Linked DNA regions of Neodiprion lecontei. The protein of the gene in region 1 purifies or fractionates together with the protein of each later gene. This does not show direct contact. Links are inferred from orthologs where the notes say so. Each region holds a gene or a part of one and is shown in the gene's direction. Other genes may lie near its edges.

The links.
Region 2: the proteins of protein NDUFAF4 homolog (region 1) and NADH dehydrogenase [ubiquinone] 1 alpha subcomplex subunit 5 purify together in Homo sapiens (co-immunoprecipitation; 3 studies listed by BioGRID and IntAct, with this or other methods). This does not show direct contact. The link is inferred for Neodiprion lecontei from reciprocal best matches to the Homo sapiens genes NDUFAF4 and NDUFA5.
Region 3: the proteins of protein NDUFAF4 homolog (region 1) and RPII140-upstream gene protein purify together in Homo sapiens (affinity purification with mass spectrometry; 3 studies listed by BioGRID and IntAct, with this or other methods). This does not show direct contact. The link is inferred for Neodiprion lecontei from reciprocal best matches to the Homo sapiens genes NDUFAF4 and TIMMDC1.
Region 4: the proteins of protein NDUFAF4 homolog (region 1) and complex I intermediate-associated protein 30, mitochondrial purify together in Homo sapiens (co-immunoprecipitation; 3 studies listed by BioGRID and IntAct, with this or other methods). This does not show direct contact. The link is inferred for Neodiprion lecontei from reciprocal best matches to the Homo sapiens genes NDUFAF4 and NDUFAF1.

Annotation. Positions count from the first base shown.
Region 1 is NC_060260.1:87,543-92,394, forward strand, and holds protein NDUFAF4 homolog, read left to right. Parts: upstream 1-2,228; 5' UTR 2,229-2,513; intron 2,514-2,519; exon of another isoform or gene 2,520-2,652; 5' UTR 2,653-2,678; coding exon 2,679-2,823; intron 2,824-2,932; coding exon 2,933-3,024; intron 3,025-3,105; coding exon 3,106-3,328; intron 3,329-3,904; coding exon 3,905-4,032; 3' UTR 4,033-4,125; downstream 4,126-4,852. Other genes in the region: transmembrane protein 138, read left to right, coding at 4,652-4,836. UniProt on the Homo sapiens protein: Involved in the assembly of mitochondrial NADH:ubiquinone oxidoreductase complex (complex I). May be involved in cell proliferation and survival of hormone-dependent tumor cells. May be a regulator of breast tumor cell invasion.
Region 2 is NC_060260.1:32,435,289-32,439,908, forward strand, and holds NADH dehydrogenase [ubiquinone] 1 alpha subcomplex subunit 5, read left to right. Parts: upstream 1-2,241; 5' UTR 2,242-2,376; coding exon 2,377-2,397; intron 2,398-2,987; coding exon 2,988-3,149; intron 3,150-3,337; coding exon 3,338-3,511; 3' UTR 3,512-3,691; downstream 3,692-4,620. Other genes in the region: KIF-binding protein, read right to left, coding at 311-2,122; uncharacterized protein LOC107218492, read right to left, coding at 4,346-4,440, 4,610-4,620. UniProt on the Homo sapiens protein: Accessory subunit of the mitochondrial membrane respiratory chain NADH dehydrogenase (Complex I), that is believed not to be involved in catalysis. Complex I functions in the transfer of electrons from NADH to the respiratory chain.
Region 3 is NC_060263.1:36,270,928-36,277,193, forward strand, and holds RPII140-upstream gene protein, read left to right. Parts: upstream 1-2,206; 5' UTR 2,207-2,317; coding exon 2,318-2,484; intron 2,485-2,705; coding exon 2,706-2,960; intron 2,961-3,072; coding exon 3,073-3,321; intron 3,322-3,438; coding exon 3,439-3,559; 3' UTR 3,560-4,728; coding exon of another isoform or gene 4,729-4,899; 3' UTR 4,900-5,538; downstream 5,539-6,266. Other genes in the region: twinfilin, read right to left, coding at 4,729-4,899.
Region 4 is NC_060266.1:45,262-49,784, forward strand, and holds complex I intermediate-associated protein 30, mitochondrial, read left to right. Parts: upstream 1-2,179; 5' UTR 2,180-2,365; coding exon 2,366-2,721; intron 2,722-2,939; coding exon 2,940-3,468; 3' UTR 3,469-3,605; downstream 3,606-4,523. Other genes in the region: probable cardiolipin synthase (CMP-forming), read right to left, coding at 4,416-4,523. UniProt on the Homo sapiens protein: As part of the MCIA complex, involved in the assembly of the mitochondrial complex I.

The DNA of each region.
Region 1 (4,852 bases):
ATGCTGAAATATGTAAGCATGCAAGGCTAGGTTCACAGCATTTCGTCAGTTCATTTATTCGACAAACTCACGTAAGAGCTCTAGAGGCTCTAGGACAACGAATAATTTAGTGGGATGTATAACATAACATTACTTGATACCATTGAGTTATCAAGTAATAGATTGAATTTTTAAATTCGACGTAATTGGGACACTCACTTTGGAAGAGAAAAACCTGGGGCACGATGAACGTGATTATCCGTATTTATTTATTAATACACATGATTTAACTATTAAAACAAAATAAGTTCTCATACCTGGGGCCCAGGAATTGCGGCGCGCTTGTTCTGAAAGTCGAAATTCACCAGGTACAAGACCTGGAGCCCAGGAACTACAGATCGTTCGTCCTGAAAGTCGAGTCCTGAAAGACGAAATTTACCAGGTAGACGACCCGGAGCCCAGGAAATGCGAAGCGCTAGTCCAGAAAACCGAAATTCACCAGGTAGACGACTTGGAGCCCAGGAACTACGGAGTGTTCGTCCTGAAATTCGAGACTCCACAGGTAAAGGATCTAAGGCACAGAAGCTACGGAGTGCTCGCCTTGGAAGTCGAAATTCACCAGGTGGACGACCTGGAGCGCAGTACCCAGGAGATAGAGGACTTGATGCTCGAAATTTGCCGAGCGCGATTTTCGTACGTCCTCTCTACTGCGCGTTTATTTCCGGACTGAGGAATTCTGCTGATTGATTAGCGTGGTCGAATATTATATGAAAAAAAAAAACTTTCGGTAACGTCGAAATGTAATTTCTGAACATCCGAACATTCGAAATTTGGATTTCGAACGTTCATACTATGTATGATATGATGTATGATGTTGGTGTATGATTTGTACCCTTGGTCACATGATGATACACAAGTTCGAATCGAGGGTGCTGAAGGCTATTCGGTAGAAGTAGCCCCTACGCCTGTTGTACACCGGGCTGTTTCTAACAAGAGCATGTATAAGGCCCTTATCGTGAATTTTGGGCGAAATAAAATAATTGCGTTTCACGTTTGATTTCACTTACATGAATTAATCATGAGAACAATGATTGACAAACGAGATCATTCAGTTTTATTTTATTGCTCATTACCTCCTTGGGAAAACGACGGGAAGGTAACGAAATCCACGCTCGAAGTAAGCAATTTTCCATTCACCTTACGTCCTTACATACAAGAAAAATTAAGGCGAGGCACAATTCCATGAACGTGTTGAAAAAATACTTTTGCACTTTTCAGATATATCTCATAAATACTCACGGCAAGATGCTTCACTGTCACTGTACACTCTGCAATAGATATCCCCGCGCGATGACCACCGGCTTGCAAATGCCGTGCTTTGTCTCAGAACCAAGAAGAATAAAATCAATGCACAAACTGCGCGATCAACATTGAAAACTTCGTTACTCGTAACGTTATAACTGAAGATATATTCTTCAGTCAATGCTCGTAAGAAAGTTGACTGAGGCTCAGCAAATGACGAGTGCGTTACTTTTTTTATATGCCGTTTGCGAAATCCATGCGCACAGCTCCATAAAAGATCCATATTCATGGTGGATCTCTAATAGACTCTACAGAAATCCCGAATGTTTGCGGTGTGATTGAAATCGGTGATGGATATCCATTGGTTCTCTATAAATAACCATGTACGTAAGTGGAAGTACTACAAACAATCACCAAGTGACGAATGACCGCTCTCCTCTCTCGCGAGAAAGAAAGAGCTCCAAATTATAAAAAAACCTCAGCAACTCAAATCGGTCAATCCGAAGTTCATCCGGTATCTACGTACTCGGTCGTTCTTGACTGCGTAGTCTATATATATTACCCAGGCCTTGGACTTTTTTTCTGGGGCAGAACAAAATATACATATGATAGTTTCTGATAGTTTCCATGATACGTAAACAGGAGTATTGATGATATGAAAACAACGTCGATTGAAGATATCAATTTCCGCCTTTCACTGATCCGTGAAAGTTGAAGTCATATAGCCTGTTCTGAAAAGCATTTAGCACTCCTACCCTTACGGACTGAGAAAACTCCCACTCTTTCTTCCTATATTAGGTATTAAATAAACAAACAAACAGAAAGAATTCAAAGTTCGCGGGTATATCGCTCTTTTGTAGCGGAATTCAGGAAAGTTACTCATATTTCGAAAATCGCCCAAAAAAAATGTGTAATTTTTTGACACGTGTTACTATTCCCATCGTCTCCCGCATTTCAGGGGCCAAAAAGTGCCGAGCTGAGATACTTTTCGCCATTCACAACCACTCAACTATTGACTATTAAACGTCGGGAACTCACTATCAACACCAACAAATGTCCAACGAGCTATTAAAAACTAAATCCACTCATTCGGATATTGAGGACGGGCTAAGTATATGGAGCTACATTTTTTAGCCTCGCCACCGCGGAGAAAGACTCCGTTGACAAGTCTACAATTGTTATTTTGAGTAACGTCTTCTTCTGTTTTCCGCATCGATACGACGTGAGCCAATGTGAGCCTAACTCTAACCTCTCTAAAGAATCTCTCGCAGCCGATGTAGAGCCGGGTTACTTATCCGCGTAGAGCATGTTTATCATATCTCTAAGTCACAAACAAGCCAGTATTTATGTTACATTCTTGATACGTTTAAGGTAATCAATATTAAGTAGATAGCCAAATGGGAAAGGGAATGTCAATGCTGTCACGACAATTGCAAAGGTTCAATATCGAGAACCGTGCCCACAAAGTTATTTCGAAAGAAAAACCAACTCCCGCACCTCACCACAAACCGTCTGCAAGACAATCTGAAATAATGAACGAAGGCAAGTGTTCGCAACGCCCTGCAAGTATCAACTCAATGAATATGACTTCCTGATTCTTGCTGTTACCATTGCCAAGTAGTTGTACAATCGGCATTTAATAAATTTACAGCAGATTCTGATTTCCTGAAAAAACATAACATGAAAGATGCGAAGCTTGATCATCATCTGAAAAATGTCTACCTTGTATCTCATACAGCAGAGGTAACACTTATCATTCCAATAGTTACGTAATCCGTTGTAGATGAGTTGAGTATTCTGTTACGTTATATCTGGAAATTACAGATGATGGAGAAACTTCATGTCAAAAATCCAGATCGGCCTCTTCCCCAGTCCAGAACTGTCAGGGATGACTTGGAGTTTGGCGTTTTTGAACCAACTGAAGTTACGATAGGGAGATGTACTTTGCGCCAAGCTATCAAATTCATAACAGATCATAATACAGAGCCAACAAAACACACTGCTGCTGAAATAGCTGCTGAGTATAAACTCAGTCTCGAATCTACAAGTATGATCAATTTACCACTAACAAGCGTACAAAAAATTAACAGGCCATCTAAGGGTCATGATTGGAGCGTGCCTGCGATGACACAATTTTGAATGCACCAACAATCGAAATTCTTTGTTATAAGTTCAATAAGTATGACAGTTTTCTCAACTTGTTTGAGTTTTCATACATGTTAAACATTAAAGTGGAACATCGTCATGAATTATGCAGTAACTAATTTTTATACAGAGATAATCAAAAACCTGCTTTTTACATCACAAGAGACTGCACTCGCACAGAGAGCAAGGTATTTCGACTAGTTGTATCACATAGTGCATTTAGTCACACATTTCAGCTCTGTATCAAGTTGCACAAGAGTGAGGTTGCCGTTGCTATAACACATAATCTTCAGACAGCTCTATAGTAATGTGGTTGCAATGGACTGCACATTCATGCACTTCTGAGTTGCCAAACTCTGAAATTAATATTAAATTTAATGATGTCGGTTTATTTTTCTAATACAATCACTAGTGAAGCCCCTATCTACCCAAGATACCTGTATTTTTTCGTGCAATATGAAAACTGATTATTTTACAGGTAATATATTGAAATACTTCAGGACGTTTAAACTCTACATCCCTGAAAAGGAGCTGAAAGAAACACCACTGCAACCTTCGTTGCATGAAAAGATGAAAGATCAGAATAATCCAAAGCATCTGACATAGTTATATATATGATACTATTAGTAAATGCCTGTAAAATTGTTAGGAATAGTTCTACATGTGAATATTCAATAAAATACGAAAGTTGTTTTTGAATTTAGTCACACTTGATCCTAATACGATTATTAACGAATGGTAACGAGGGATAGCTTTTGAACCACATTATGCTCATTACAACATGGGGTAAGCTAATGACATTTCAGTGACTTTCCAAGTCTTGATTGATGCATGCTGGTACGTTGGCTAAATATATGTGAAGACAAATGACACAAATTTTTTATGACTGCACGGAAATGATGTAGAAATTGCATTGTTTTGCAATTATACAGGAGATATGTGTTACAACCCTACTAAATATATAAGAAATTGGAATCACCCGCATTTTGGAACATACACAAAAGATTCAATGGTTAGTGTGAAACAAAGAGCGGACTGTAAAAAAGTGGGTCTAGTAAAAATCGCAATAATTTAACATTTTATGACTAAACTATCGATTTTTTCCACGTGTAGTCACTTTCGAGTTTAGTCTCCAACCACAATGGGGTCGCAGTGAGCAAGATGGAGTGCAAGTCTACCATTGCCATGACAACCGTACGAAATATCACAGCAGCTATTAAGCTGAATGGAGATAAGACCTAAGTCGTTTTCACAAAAGTTATCCACACATACTAAGATGATCTTCTCTTGGACAAAACAATATACAATACTATTCATACTACAATACATACTTTTGCTTTACGACGCTAGTGTAAATGCAGTTGTTATATTGTGCCAAAACCAGCCGGTTGATGTGCTCATTCTTTATATGCAAGTACACACAACA
Region 2 (4,620 bases), about 32 Mb from region 1:
GTTAATTAATTCGATACTAGCACCATACGCTCAAACTGTAAGATGTAAACGCACAAAGCATGGTATTTTTATTTCAGTTTCAGAAATATAAGTACCGACTTTACTGCCTGTACCTATGTTCAGATTTACACAGTCAGATGAAGCCGTGAGATTAATGAGTTGTTAGGTACAGAGAGTAATATCAGTATTACGTAAAAAATGTATAGTTTCAATAACTTATAATACAAACTTATTAAAATAATGTTTTGCAAAAAAAGCTGTATTAAGCAAGAAATGAATATGAATCTTTATTGCCTTAAAGACATCATATTTATACCAATTCTCTAGTTAATTTTTCTATTTTCAATGGTAAAAGATTAACAAAGTCTTTGCAGACACTCAATTCCACGCTCATCAATTCTGCAGCTTTTTCATCCTTCTCACAGTAGCCAATCAGCGCTTTGTAGGCATTCAAACTATTTCGAAGATTTTCTAGCTGTGCATGTTTGTCAGGTGTTATGATTTTATAATACAATCTTCCCAAAAAAAAGTAAGCAAATAAAGCGGGTCTAACTAAATCTTCGGAAAATTTGTCTGGGAAATTGTGAGTGGCTGGATCCACCAGAGAATCTAAAAAATTCTGAAAGTTTCCAATCGCACTCCTGGCAAGGTTATTGATTTTAGTTAGTGCCTGGGCGGTCGGTCTTTCGTTTGACGCTTGCAGACGTTCAAGCTTAATATCTAAAATATCGCAGTAAACTTCGCCCAGTTCGATCCATAGTTGCCTGCACACAGTTTGGTAATACTGTGGATTTAACTCTGTAACAATCTTTTCTAAGGCGTCGACCCGCCGCTTGTGCATTTTAGATTGGCGATCCTCATCCTCTTCAAAGAATGACAAGAATTTAAAGAGCTGCGAAACGTCTTGTATCACTTGCACGTGATCCGACGCATGACTCTCCAATGTGTAATACTTTTTTGCCTCATCAAGCCATTGTTGGGAGTTCAGAAATATCGTCCTGGCATCGTTGAAGTCCAAAGCATATTTGTCTGTCAGTTGATTTGCAATAGTTTCAATTTCTTTCTCTATCTTTGTGAATCTTAAATTCTCGATACATTCTTCAGTGACCCCCGAGTTCTCATCCAACTGCATCCTACTTATCTCCGAGCACATTTCGCTCGTTTCATCATCGGCATGATGCATCAGCCTTTCTTTGGATGTACTCAACAGCAGGATCCCATATTTTGCCCAGCACCTGGCGACGTCTGCGCTTCTATGTCTGAACGTTTCCCATTTTGCTGCCACCACTTCCTCCGTATCGTCCAAACTTCTCAACTCATCCTCGTACTTTTGCAGAATATATGAAGCTGCAGCCAAGTGATGTTTGGCCTGCCTAAACCCTCCCTTTTCCATAAAATACTGGGACAAAGTCGCAGCATTCAAGGCCCAGTCTACACAATCCAGATCTTCGTGGTTCAACTGACGTTTCAGAGTCATGTGGCAGTAGACTGCGGATTTGAGGTGATCCTTTAAGGTTCCATAGATTTGCGCCAAGTAGTAGAGAGTCAGAGTGTGGAGTCGTTCGACTATTTCCTCAGCGTCTGTGTCATCGTCATCATCCTTCAGATTGAACAATGCGGCCATAAGTACGGGTTTGGTACTATCGCTTTTTTCAATCGCAGTAAAATCCTTGTATATTTTTTCAGCTTTTTCTAAATATTTCTGGGATGTTTTTGGATTGTCTCGCTGGGCCCAGAGTATTCCCAGCTGATTCAGAGCACTAAGTATAACTAATATTGCCTCTGGTCTCAGTTCTCGGTCAATCAAAAGGTCCACGCAGTTGGTCAGCTGCTCTTCACCGGCTGCCAATTCCTCCGTGTCGACCGAAATTATCCCCATATTGAGCCAGATAACAGCAAGCATTGCTGTCACAATATTTCTGTCGTGTTCTGTTATATTGTCGTCTAATATTTTCACAAGTTTAATCTGCATTTCCTTGAGTATATCGGCTGCCGCATATTTACTTTTGTACGGCTCACTCTCCGGGTCCAATTTACTGTGCTCGTCCAGCAGCTTTCGAACCTTGACGTATTTCTCCTCCAGGTCCACTAGAATCTCCTTATTCACACTATCGAGCTCCATTTCAACGACACTTTCGGACAATATACTGAAGTGATTGAAATTCAAGCTGCAACGACGACTGATTTATTTGATCCGTGTTTGAGGTTAAGTACCGGTTTTCCTGTTTTCTTTTCGTCGTCTACGCGGTGCGCAGACCGTTTTGCGTTTTTCGTCTCAAGCAGACGCTGTGAGCAGACGATAGAGTGCGATCCGTAGTCTCAATTAATCCTGAAAACTTGTGCAAAGTATCGAGGAATTCAGAATTTGCGTAAAATATGGCTGGGCTTTTGAAAAAGGTAAATGTCTAACATAGTTGAATTGTTGGTATTTCTTAGAAATGGGCTTGCAAATTTTTCTTTATGGCAAATAACGTCAGGTGTTACACAACATAACCTGTATATCATATTAATCACTTCTCGAATACGCGTTGAGAAACGGTATTTTTCAAGAATTGGAGCGTTTTAAACGTATTTTTTTATTGCTGCGCCAGTAACTATAAAGGTCATCGATCCTTTCGAGACTCACTTATGCAAAATTCACTACCAGTTAGACATTGTCTCTGGTGGATGGATGTAGTCAAAGAAAGGTAACTGCTCGTGGCTGCTTATATTTGATTGTGAGATATAATAAAATCGCTAACTGCTCAAGTTGTATTACCATGCTTCTGTTTTTTTAAATTGATAACTAAAGTACTTTGCAGAATATCACAGAAGTCCTATCATTGTTTGATGGAAGGATTCTTTACGACTAACTAACAACTATAAGATTCATGACTGAGACATTTGATTCGTATGTTTATATTCCAAAAGAGCTGTGACTTTTTAAAGCCTTTTTAAGTATATTCAATGCTTTTTAAATGTTCAATATCAAGTATTCTCTTTTTTAGTCAACAAATTTAGCCAGGGTGCCCGTTGCCCCGAATCCACATCATACTTTGGGAGTGTTGTACAGTAAAATTCTTAGAGCCGTCGATAAAATGCCCAAGGATTATCCCTACAGAATCAATACGGAGAAAATTGTTAAGGAACGAGCTGCTCATGTGAAAAATGTAACTATTATTGCACAGTTTATTTATTAATAGTTATTCTTGGAAGATTATTAAATTATAAACTGATCAAGAATGATGTCGCGTAAAGTCGAAAATCGTGATTTTCATTAAGGTTTATTGAAAAGATATGCTTGTTACCTTGGTAAGAAAAAAGATATTGACAAATTATAGGATTTAAATCGTTTCAGAATCTAAAAGTGCCAGACCTTGAAAAAGCCATAAACTGTGGCCAAGCTGAAGAATTAATCCTACAAGCTGAAAACGAATTACACTTGGCGAGAAAGTTCTTAGGTTGGAAGCCTTGGGAACCGTTGATCCAAGAAGCACCTGCTAACCAATGGACTTGGCCACCGCACAAATAATATGTGAATCGATTACGCATATTTAAAATGTTTATAATCATTGCATACGCAAAGTAGACAATATTAATTGTATATACGTCTGTCTCCGATTATAAAATAGCAGTTTTGGAAGAAATTACTTGTTCCTGAAAATAGATATCATTAAAGAAATGAAAATATGCATGGACTAATCAAATGAAACTATGTCATCTTAATTAACGTGCTTCTGCATTGAAAAACAGGTCAAGATTTTTATTTAAAATATTCAAGAGCAATATTTCTTCGTTTTTCTGACCAAATCACGTAATGACCTTCATATGTGCCAGAAAGGAAGATGTAATTAGTAACGGTCTAATTACGTCTCAAGTTAAGTTAGCATTAATGAAAAATTAAAAATCTGCAGATCTACCAAGACTTTGCAGCCAAAATCCCTGTGACGAATTTATTCACAAGCTTACATTTACACTTTAAATATTGAAATTTTATTATAGATAAAAAATAGTCTAAATAAACCGACGAGTTGGAGATTAACAGATTTGTAGTATTTCCAGATTTCCGGACCACAAAAAATTATAATAGCGACACCAGAAAGATATGTATAACATACTCTCTTTGTACTAATTTGAAACTCAAGCCATAGTTAAAGATCTGCTCTACGCTCTACAGTATCATCCATTAGTGCAACTAATATTTCTTGCGAAGTATTTGATGTCCCATCTGGATGTCGTTTATCAAAATTTCCTGACTGTCCCTATTTGGATTCTGATTGCGTAACCACATTTCTATGTTTGCATACTTCCCTAAATGAGAGACAAAAAATTGCCATAACAAACTAAGTTTCGATGCAACATTTATTTATTTACATACTTTAGAATTGCTTGCTCTGTTATTGTTATTCCAAGTCATTGTATTCTCTTCACTGATTTTTGAGCTGGAGGGCTCAGAAGTCTCTGTAAAAGATATTGACGATTAGAAATTACTTGAATATGTTCGTCATGGATTTTTTTACCCGTACAAAGCATTATTCGAGCTTAAACATCTGCATTACGAAGACTGCTTCTGGTAGAAGGAGTAAGGAACAGATAAACCAGTCCCAACAAATTACGGTATATAATTTACCTGGAATTGAT
Region 3 (6,266 bases), on another chromosome or scaffold:
CTAATTGCCTTATCAGTCTAGTTCTTGCGAGTCTATTATTAGGTTTGTATCTCTGACAAAGTGGCTCTACGTTATATACATTATGCAATACGGTTTGAGGGAGCTGAATCATTAATTGTACGTATTCGACTTACCCGTTGCCTGCACCAGTCTCCCGAGAATATTATCTTCGCGACACAAATCACAGATTTATCAATCCTTTATTTATTGCGTCAAAAGAAACAAGTAAAACAAATAGAAAACCAATTTTATTTCCAAAATCACCACACTGTAATTATAACTTAGCCAACTGCTACGTTCAACGAATATAATTTTTTTTTTTTTCCCCCTCCCCGTTTAACGTTAACGCGGTATATTTCTTACAACATGAATTTATAATTTAATATCGTATCGTAGATATGCGTGTACATAGAATTGTATTTTTTATTTTTTTTTTTTGTTTTTTATATAATTAAAATTATTAACTTTTTAACCATAACATATATGTATATATATTTTTTATTTTTTTTTTTTTTTTTATTTGTATTTTTCCTTATATATATAGTTTCTTTATGCTTGCTCCTTTTTTTTTTTTTCACCCCCCTCAACGACTACGCGAGAGTCTTTTTCAACTAGGATAAAATGATATGTATTATATCTCCGACTAGTGTTAGCGATCGGTCAGCGGTGTAACGGATGCATATAATCCAAGGTGCACACTTTTTCGGTTTATTTATTATTTCTATATTTTCTTTGTTTTCCTTTTTTTTTCAAATACTTCGGCTTTTCCCTAAACTAATGGAATTTCGGTTCTGTGCTCGTTGCGTCGAGTCACATTTTAGTGTGACACTGGCGTTGCGCGGTACAACCACACGGTTCGCAGCCGTTCCTCGCTCTTCGGCGCTTCGGAAACCACCCCTATCGCCCCTGTTACCTTTTCCACCCCCTGGCACACGCCGGCCGTCGCCCCCTCCACACCCCAGCCGCCGGCGGTCCTATTGACGTGCGAGTTTCTACTCCCCCGGCCCTCGCTGCCACCGACGGTCTCCCTCCTTCATCCCTGCCCCCGGCTTTCGGGGGTGGAAAAGAAGCCTGATGTAATGCCGTTACGTCACGGCGCGTCTCTGCCAGCACACCTAGCGGTACACTGAGGGAACCACGGGATTAGCATCGTGCGCCGTTTTTCACCACCATTTCCAGCTTCCGGTCTACCCGCCGATTTAAATTCCGTAAAAAAAAAAATAACTATGATTTTGAATATAATTTAAAATATCCAAGTTTCGATAAACTATACCCGTGACCAATATACAATTCAATGCCCAAGAGAATATATTCAAACGATATAACGCAATTATCGCTGAAATTAATTCCAAAATTTTTCCATGTGATGCTTCAGTTTTTTATGAAAATCATTACTTACTGATTTTTTAGTAATTTGCTGTTACTCGTGATATTGTACTGGATATATGTCAGAATTTCACCAAGTATGCTCAAGAATCATAAATAGTTAATACCATTCTTCTCGAGCCAAAGTTAGAAGGAATATAAAAGCAGTCGGTTCGGACTTAAGGTATCTATTTTCGAATCTTTATCGAAACTGAAACAAATTATTTTATTCGATTCTATTGCATAGTTTTCTAACAACAACGAATTGATCTTACCAATCTGAACTGAATTTTCTTAACTATAGCACGTGAAACGTTGCAGGAGGCTCAGTCAAGATAAGAGATATAAATGGGTGCATTTTATATGCACCTCTCCTTCCAGCCGTAATAAATCTAGCCTCTAATCTCATTGCTGTACTGTACAGCAAACTGCAGTGATGCATTTTTCATACAACTACGGTAGCTTTCAAGCTTTAAATAATCGATGTTACCGAATCGCGCCTTAACGTCTGCAACCCGTAAGCCTTGTGTGATTATTCGCTGCCTACAAAACGGCAACATCTATGTATAAAATCAACCTCTTCTTTTTGATGTTCAACCTTTCAGCATCGATTTTTCATCTTCGCTGCAGATCTGTATGCAATTCTTACGTGAATCTTAAGCTGAAACAACTTATTGAGGTCTAAGGTAACTTCTTCCCGTGACAAAATCATTAGCCAAATTTTACCGCTGGCTGATCGGCAAAAAACAAACATTCATTTTTTTTTAACCTCGGGCGGATCATCCATCGCGCATGCCCCTGACATTTTGGAGATATTTTGAACTGCTAGTTTGGCCAATGGCGTCGTCAAAATTTTGTATCTTGAGTTGTATTTTTAGGTTATGTTACATCGCACCATCCATTGACTTGCAGAGATATCGGGACCAACAATTCCCAATTCAATAGCTACAAAATGTTAAATGTCGCGGGAAGACGAATACCGTATCTGATAGGTATACATTTACCGTTTTGGCAGTATGATATACCCGATAAAACTGTACAAACTGCCAAATCATTTAACTCTGATGCGAACGAAAATGAAACCGGCTGGGATAGGTTAAGAAACATGTACAGTCTCGAGTATGTACTTGTTTTATTAATAGTAGACCTTCGTTATCCCGCTTGTTACAATCAACGCACGACACTTTCATGTGTCATTCTCAAAACTAATTTTTTCCCTTTTCAAATCGTTCTACCCTCTGTTGCCTTCAATTTGTTCTTTGTTCCTTTCTTGACATCCGCACATCGAATTGTCTTCTATCTTGTCAATCCATTAAATAATGCAGCCGTTTACGTTACAGCGAGTATGGAAACCGAAGTCCTGAAATGCACTTCGCTGTACAAGCAACATTTTTTGGAACGTTTGTTGGACTCGTATATGGAGGCTCACTGAATTCACGTATGGCGTATGTAAATTTCATGGAGAGAAATCAGGCGACAGCATTCACAAACATATTCGAGGCGAAAAGAAAATTGCAAGATACTGTTACAATCAGTTTTGCCAAGGGTGCTTATCACTGGGCATGGAGAATCGCCTTTTTCACTGGCTCTTATGTGTGAGAATCTTACGCTAAAATTTCACGCAACAAACTAATCTAGTATCTTAGAATATTTTGAGTTTCAGATTTAGCCAACTACAGTCGTCCTAAAAGTATGTTAAAATTGTAGATTACTGACAACCTCGATCGCAGTTTATCGTGGCAAGTCATCTCTTTTAGAATATGTAACTGCGGGTACTATAACTGGAGCGATGTATAAAACAATGTTGGGTCCGAGAGCAATGCTTGTTGGCGGAGCTGTGGGAGGAGTTTTCGGCGGTGTAGCTGGTGCATTGTGTTTAGCATTGTTAAAAATAAGTGGTACGACGATGGAGGAAATCCGATACTGGCAATACAATTGGAAGAAGAGCAGAGACAAGTGAGAGACGGTCACTGATTTGAACGTGCCGTTATCATTTTTCAAGTATTTTTAGCTCACTTACGTACAGTGTGTATGAATAAGTCGTTCTAATTAAAGTATTTTCTCTCATTACAGGCGAATTCAGAGTTCTATGAGTCGCGTTATCCAGCAGCCAACAGACATCGAAATGTTGCATGACAAAAAAGTGGAAAGTCTAGAGGTGCAAGAGCAAGAGGTTAAGAAAAGTAAAGCATAGTCACTCAATTTAGGTAGGTCTATTTCCATTGGTCTTGTAGATATTAGACTTTATTCGTTGTTATACATAATTATAATTTATTTTAAATTGTTCAGAGAACAATTATAATTTAATTAATAATTTCTAATAATAATATGTGGTTTTTTCTGTTTCTTTAAAGTACATTATATGTATATAACTCATGCAGACTTAATTCACTAGTACCTAAGGCAACGGCACATTTTTATGATTGCTAAAATTGTATATGAGTACGTTTAAGAAAATGGGTGTCGATCATGTGCGAATTATATTTCTTTACGTTATTTTCAACATTAGTTACACCTGTCTAACCCAATACTTGAAAAATTTGTTATATTATAACATGTTAAATTCTCAATCCTTCAAATTGATGCAATTTCCTGCAAGTGATTAAATTATGATACCTTGGATAACACAATTTTTATATAATGATTATAAAAATCGCTAATCTTATTCTCTATCACTGCAATAAACTATATACCGATTGTGCCAATAAAATACATAATCAAATTTGAGCAATTGCTGAAAAATGTCTACTGATCCCTCTAATCGAATAATTTGAATGTAAAATTCTGATCTACAGCAGCATGCATGTTCACAATGAAACGAAAATATTCTTGATAGAACACTGGTCATAATTCGCAAACATTGAGAGATATTCCTAATTCGATATTTTATGAGCCCTATTCTGCAGGCAAGTATTAATACTGAAAATTTCCATGCTCAATACTAAACATAAGTTCTGATGGAAATTCGAGGCAGCTGTTTATTGCATAGTTTTGAAGTTAGCAAAGTCGTTACCGTGTATGCAATAAATACTACATATGCTCACAGAATAGGCCTGATAATCAACGACATATACGATATGCAAATTAGAAATGTATAGAAAAAAAAAGTTCTTGTCTAGTCAACTTCATTCGATCAATATTTCATTGTACACTATAAAACGAAAACCGAATTTTCCCATTTGGATGAATAATAAACGAGAAATGTACTAGAAGTGAATAAAAGCACTGAATTTGACAGTCAAAATTAAGCAAAGAGTAATGTTGCGGAATAAATAGTAATAAAGCGTTGGGCAGTTTACTAAAATCTTACAGCCTGCTTGAATTTGTTATTGTCCTAATTGTATAATTCATCAGAGTTTTATATTAAGTTTCTTGTTCTGCAGTTTCTGGAGTTTGAATCTTGGTCAAACGTTTAGCACCTCTGTTTGGCGGACCTTTGGGTTTGGCAAACTTAGGTCGGTGCAAATTGACTTTCGGATGTAATTCCTCTTGCAAAAATTCCATGGTTAGTTCCTTTCCGTCATCAATCTCAAGCTACAGACCGAAAAATTTTGCATAAACAGAATTAAATTTCTACAATTTTCAGTAACAAGAAATAGAGATACTTGGACGTTTCAAGCTCAAATTATCATCCAAATGTTACGATTGGATATAAATAATTTACAATAAAAAATCATGGTATACCAATGTCAGGCCTATACTGTAAGCTTATAAAATATAATTACTAAATATTAAACGCTATTACGTACCCGTACGATGATGTTATCACCCTGGCATTCATTCCCACCTATTGAATTTTATTTGTCTATTTTCATTTACAATATACGTATATAGCAAAATAAAATTATTGAAAGAACTGTGGATTACAGTAAGATATTGACAAAAGCAAGAAATATTCTTTTTAAATTGTATAATTGTGTTTATTATTCATAATATATTTAATATTGGCAAGAATATACAATTTATTTGTTCATAAGAAGGAACCTATAATGTTTTTAACAAAATTTTCTTTATAAATAATCAATCAATACAATGAACGCATCTTACAGAATAGGCCTGGCCTGGAACAGTGGTACTTATAAACATAATTTGCGCCTGGGCGAACGTGTGCGTCTCCCCCTTATGCATATATCGGAACACAATTTCAAATTTTGAGCGTCGTATAGAAAACCATTGGGCCCGAAAAAATTTTAGTATAGTTCTATCATACAAAACTTAGATGATCACGATTTTTCCACAAAAACAGCCCATGTAAATTTGTGATATGAATAATACCGTAAATCGTTTCTGTTATTCATATTTATATGGTTTACTATTCAGATAGAAAAAAAATATACAGGAAATATCATATTCGGAAATTCGATGAATTCAATCAATCGCCATTGTATTTCTACATTGAGCGTTGAGACATATACTTGCAAAAAGTTATTTCAACAGTGGCGGGGGATCTGGGGGGGGGGGGGGGGCAATTTCTCAAGATAGTTTGTGACTACGATAGGATTACGAATTCACAATTATTTTTTCTATCAAAGGTAGATAAAAATGCAAAAAAAGTGACCACGTAAATTTGCATACTTTCAATTTCATGTTTCTTTTCTTTTTTAACAAGTCCCAGATCATAAGTTAAAATCCAAAGATTTCTAAAACGCTTATAAAAAGCTACAAGAGTTAAAAAATACACGTCACGAAAAATATAATGCCTCTCGAATATCATCATCTTGTTGTTGCCTATCTGACAACTCTCCCACTCTGTATAACTGTGTAAATTTTGATCAATATTATGCTAACTTTATACATAGATATAACAATTTTGGCAAATTCGAATCACGATTGATCAGTTTCGCTGATTGTATCGTTAATCATAGAACATTTAATCTCCAATTTCGTTTTATATTCCTTTG
Region 4 (4,523 bases), on another chromosome or scaffold:
TGATGGTTTTGCAGTCTCTGGTTTTATGGGTTATTGCAGCAGTGCTATCTTTACATTATATTGGTTATGCATTTATCTATGGTTTTACAGTCTTCTATACTCCAGGCTATATAGTAAAGCGTATGTTGCTTAAGTATAGCTCTCAGCTCCGAATGCACAAATGGCATTGTTGAGTGCTATATAATAATTGGGTATAATTGTGTTAGTTAATTATAGTGTTAATATGATAGTGATATATAATAACGTATAATAGTATTATAGTTCTCTGTGGTACGAAGATCTCGTAACATGGTTTTTAAGCCTTGGCTAGTGAATTTCATAGTTATTTCCATCTAGGGATATTCCAAATAGTTAGACAGTTGTTTTAATTTCTTATGGTTACAAGATTCTCGTACTTCGAGTTTGGTTAGTTGATAAAAGTAACATGCAGTAATAATAATCGATAAAACATACGGACGTTCCGGTCGGACGTTACACGAGCTTCCTTGAGGAAACCTTCGGCACTGCGATTGGCTGTTTCGTTTCATGTAGCCAACGCTTGCGCTCGGCGTCTATGCACTTATGACCCGTATGACGCGGATCACAGCCAGTCTACGGGTTAACTTCTTTGAGGTTACACACTCTCATCAACCGACGCGACTTGACAATGAGAGCCAAGTGGTTTAAGTTAGATTTAAATACAGCCGAGTGGCGCTTCGATCAGCAGTTTTACCACCATAAGCAATCTCATATCCCTAAATATGTCCTCCTTCTGGAAGGGAGAGCCAAGTTGTGACTATGAAACGAGGACGCCTCTGAGATTCAAGGAAGCCTTCATCAAGGCGTCCTTTATCCTTGAGATAAGGAGTTACTATGAATACGGGTGTATGGGCGCAACTCGTTAATGCTTAAACTCAAAAAATCGAGCAAGATTGGTCAAAACTGGTAAATGCAGTAATGTTAAGTAAACCCCGGTGGAAAACGCTATAAGATACTTTTGGGCGAACGCGCCTAGAAATTTTTGCCCACGTTATAGTGAGAAAAACTGGAACACGCGTGTCTTGACCTGGTATAATCTAGGGACCTTGTCAGGGTGCGATTTAAACGCCTGTATATATACCCGTATTCATAGTCTCTCCTTATTTCAAGGATAAAGGACGCCTTGATGAAGGCTTCCTTTAATCTCAGAGGCGTCCTCGTTTCATAGGGTGTATTCCGAAATATACTGACAGTACTGCAAGTACTGGCAACCACGTTCCGAAATCGCGCGACAGCTTACTGCCGCCACTCAGTGACGTCATGAAATTTGTGATGTTGTTGACTGCGACTACTGCGGTCGGGGATGTGAGGCAGCTGCACTACTTGAGAGATGGCCGCGTCCTCGGTGTAGCGTTCCGATTTTATTGCGGCTGGCAACTCGAAGTAAAAACGGTACGCAGTTCGCAGTTGACTGCGTAACGTCACGGTCGGCAGTACCGGAAGTATATTTCGGAATACACCCTTAATAGGTTACGATCAGCATCCTTCTTTTTTTACATTTTGTAGCGAAAATTTCCCTTTTTTCCGTAAGAGGCGCTCAAATTGCGATCAGACAATTCTTCTTACGTTACCTCCTCAGAGCACATACCACTAAGGTTACCTCAAAACTGGGGACAAGTTTTATCGCAGTTTTAATTGTCTCCTTCGTACTTTTCCGTGCTATCAAATCAAACTATTGGCAATTATAGAAAGATGAAGAATTATGGTGTTATTTTACGAGCAGTAAAAAGCAGCAGCAGTTTTCCCCTATCACTTCCGGTGCAAGTTTCTGCTGCTCGCAGTTCGGTTTCTCGAGCGACAAGCCACAAGACCACAAGAAGCCACGACCTATTTCATGAGCAGTGCTGCTGCTGCGTAAAATTAGCAGACTGATGCTAGTGAAAACTAGTAAGTTACTAAACCACTGCTGCTTTTTACTGCTCGTGAAATAGCACCCTTACGCTGCTTTTTCACGTGCAGCAAACAACCGAATGCGGCAGCTGCTAAAATTTTCTGATTGGTCAATGATTAATGGTGTACATACACACATGGATCTTGCTGTACATACATGCATCAAAATTGCTGCGAAGTAGAAACCCATTGTAGAAACGAACGTACTTTCGTTTGCTGCATACACAACAGAAGCCGCCCCCCCCCCCCCCCCCCCCCCCACGCCAACGCCAACACGTATGTATGCACGTATGTACGTAGCAGGCAGCCCCTGTGTCCATTGTCACATGTATTTATTACTGGCGATGCAACGAAGTGGCACGGGAAAGATATTACTAGGCGTTCGTTTATTATCACAGACAGTATCGGCAAGTGAATTACGGTGGAGTATGTTGCACGGCGCGTATCATCAGTAGTGATGTACTTCAGGATTCCACGGATGGTGGCAACAGTCACCAGATGTGAACACGTTGGGATACAAGTACGTCGGTTTTGGGAACAAGATCGCAAATCAGGTTATCCGCGAGTCGCAGCAAAAAGCTCATCCGAAAAACGAAACGACCTCTGGCACATTCGTAATGGCTTTCGTATACTCGGGGACGAGTTTAAACTCTTCAAACGTGAGGTAATTGAACACTTGGAAAGTGATCCGTTGTTGATATATCGAAAGGACGAAATTGACCTCGCTTGGCGGTTCAACGGTGACAAAAAGTCACTCGACCAATGGTTTGTCACCGCCGATAGTGACTATGAGGAAGGTTACTCAAATTGCAGGTGATTATGAGAAATTTGCATTCAGGCCCACGATTCGTGAAACAAGGACCTCAAATATTGCAGCCTAGTTTCATGAATCCGGCCCCAAATCGCATAAATATCTAAACTATAATCACTGCAGTACAGTTACGACACGTTGGAATGCTATTCCTCGACACGAGAAAATCCTTTGAGAATTTCAATAACGATTTTTTTTCGCTTTTCCTATCCACGCGAAGCCTGCAATTGACCAAGTCTGGCAGAGGGCTGTTTTCTGGATACTTGGACAAACGTGTACCAAAAACAGGAAACATCAAAAAGGCAGGATATTGCAACATTAATACTCTACGTGCTCGCAAGTCCTTCAAACGAGAAGGTTACTATGACTGGCATCCCTATAATCATCTGGTAATGCGGGTTAGAGGGGACGGTAGATCCTACATGCTCAACATATCGACAGCTGGATACTTTGATATAACTTGGAATGATGTCTATCACTATGCACTCTACACAAGAGGTGGACCTTATTGGCAGTATGTGAAAATACCTTTTTCAAAATTCTTCATGGCCAGCAAAGGAAGAATCCAAGACCACCAAGAGCCATTACCCCTGCACAATGTAGTTAGCTTCGGAATTACCGCAGCTGACAAGGTGACAGGGCCGTTTAACTTGGAAATTGACTACATCGGATTGTTATTTGATCCAAGTCATAAGGAAGAATGTGCGTATGAAATGTACAAAACTGACGACTACATCGCCGGATATTGATGTAGTTGCACAGACATTTATCTGTTTTTCCTCCATTTCAACAGCTCAGAAATTTCTGTTTGTAATTATAATTCTCCGTGGAGGAAATCAAATTGTAGCCAGGTTCACGTAGGATAATAAAAAATCTCATAAACATATATGACTCTGAATGGATAGACCATTCAATATCTTCTCTCCCTGCTAAGAAGTAACTGTCTCTGCTGAATTTTCTTCATACAGGATAAAAAATGTAAATCGTACAAAACCTAATCATTCATGTTTTCACCTAAATTTAATTATTAGTTGAACTAACGTTCCACGAGCGTTCATCAAGACACCTGCCGGTAAGCCAGGTCCGTTGTTTGTAGTCAAATTGCACGTTACTACCATCACGGCACAGGATTGCCGGTTCAGTTCGGATATCACAGCTTTTATTAGAATGCCTATCCAGCCATTAGAAAATGTCCAGCTTAGCTATCTCGTCCCTTAGGTATAACAGCAAACAGAAAATGACAGGAAGAAAACGACTTTCATGTCACCTGCTGGGTCGATTCGGCGTCAAATTTATGCAGTAGAATGTGATTGGTACAATTGATATTACATCCGGTTATACCGTGATCGATTTCGTCAATAGGAAAGCGGACGAAGATTGACTTGGATCTCAACCAGTTTAGTTACTATCCACCTGTAAACATGGCTGTAACTGTTATACACTTTATTGTGACAAATGGGAACGTAACAAACTAGCGAGAATAGAATTTGCATCAATCGTTGTACCAGGATACTATCACTGTAGTGTCCAGATCGAATATCAATCAGTTGATGATGACTTACACATTGACTGCTGATGAGCCATTGAGCCGGCAGTCAGACTGTGGTTCACAGATACGCTTCTCACATGCGGAATGCACAGAATGATTGCAAATTTGGTCTTTGTGATGTGGTTACGCTCGAGTCAACTAGTAGTGTCATGAAGGTGATGATGGAGGGTTGATCTTCCTCTTACGAAGAAACTTGTACGTATCTTTTGATACCAGGTAACTGAGGCCTCCAGCTAGGGTTGTGACGGCTGTCAG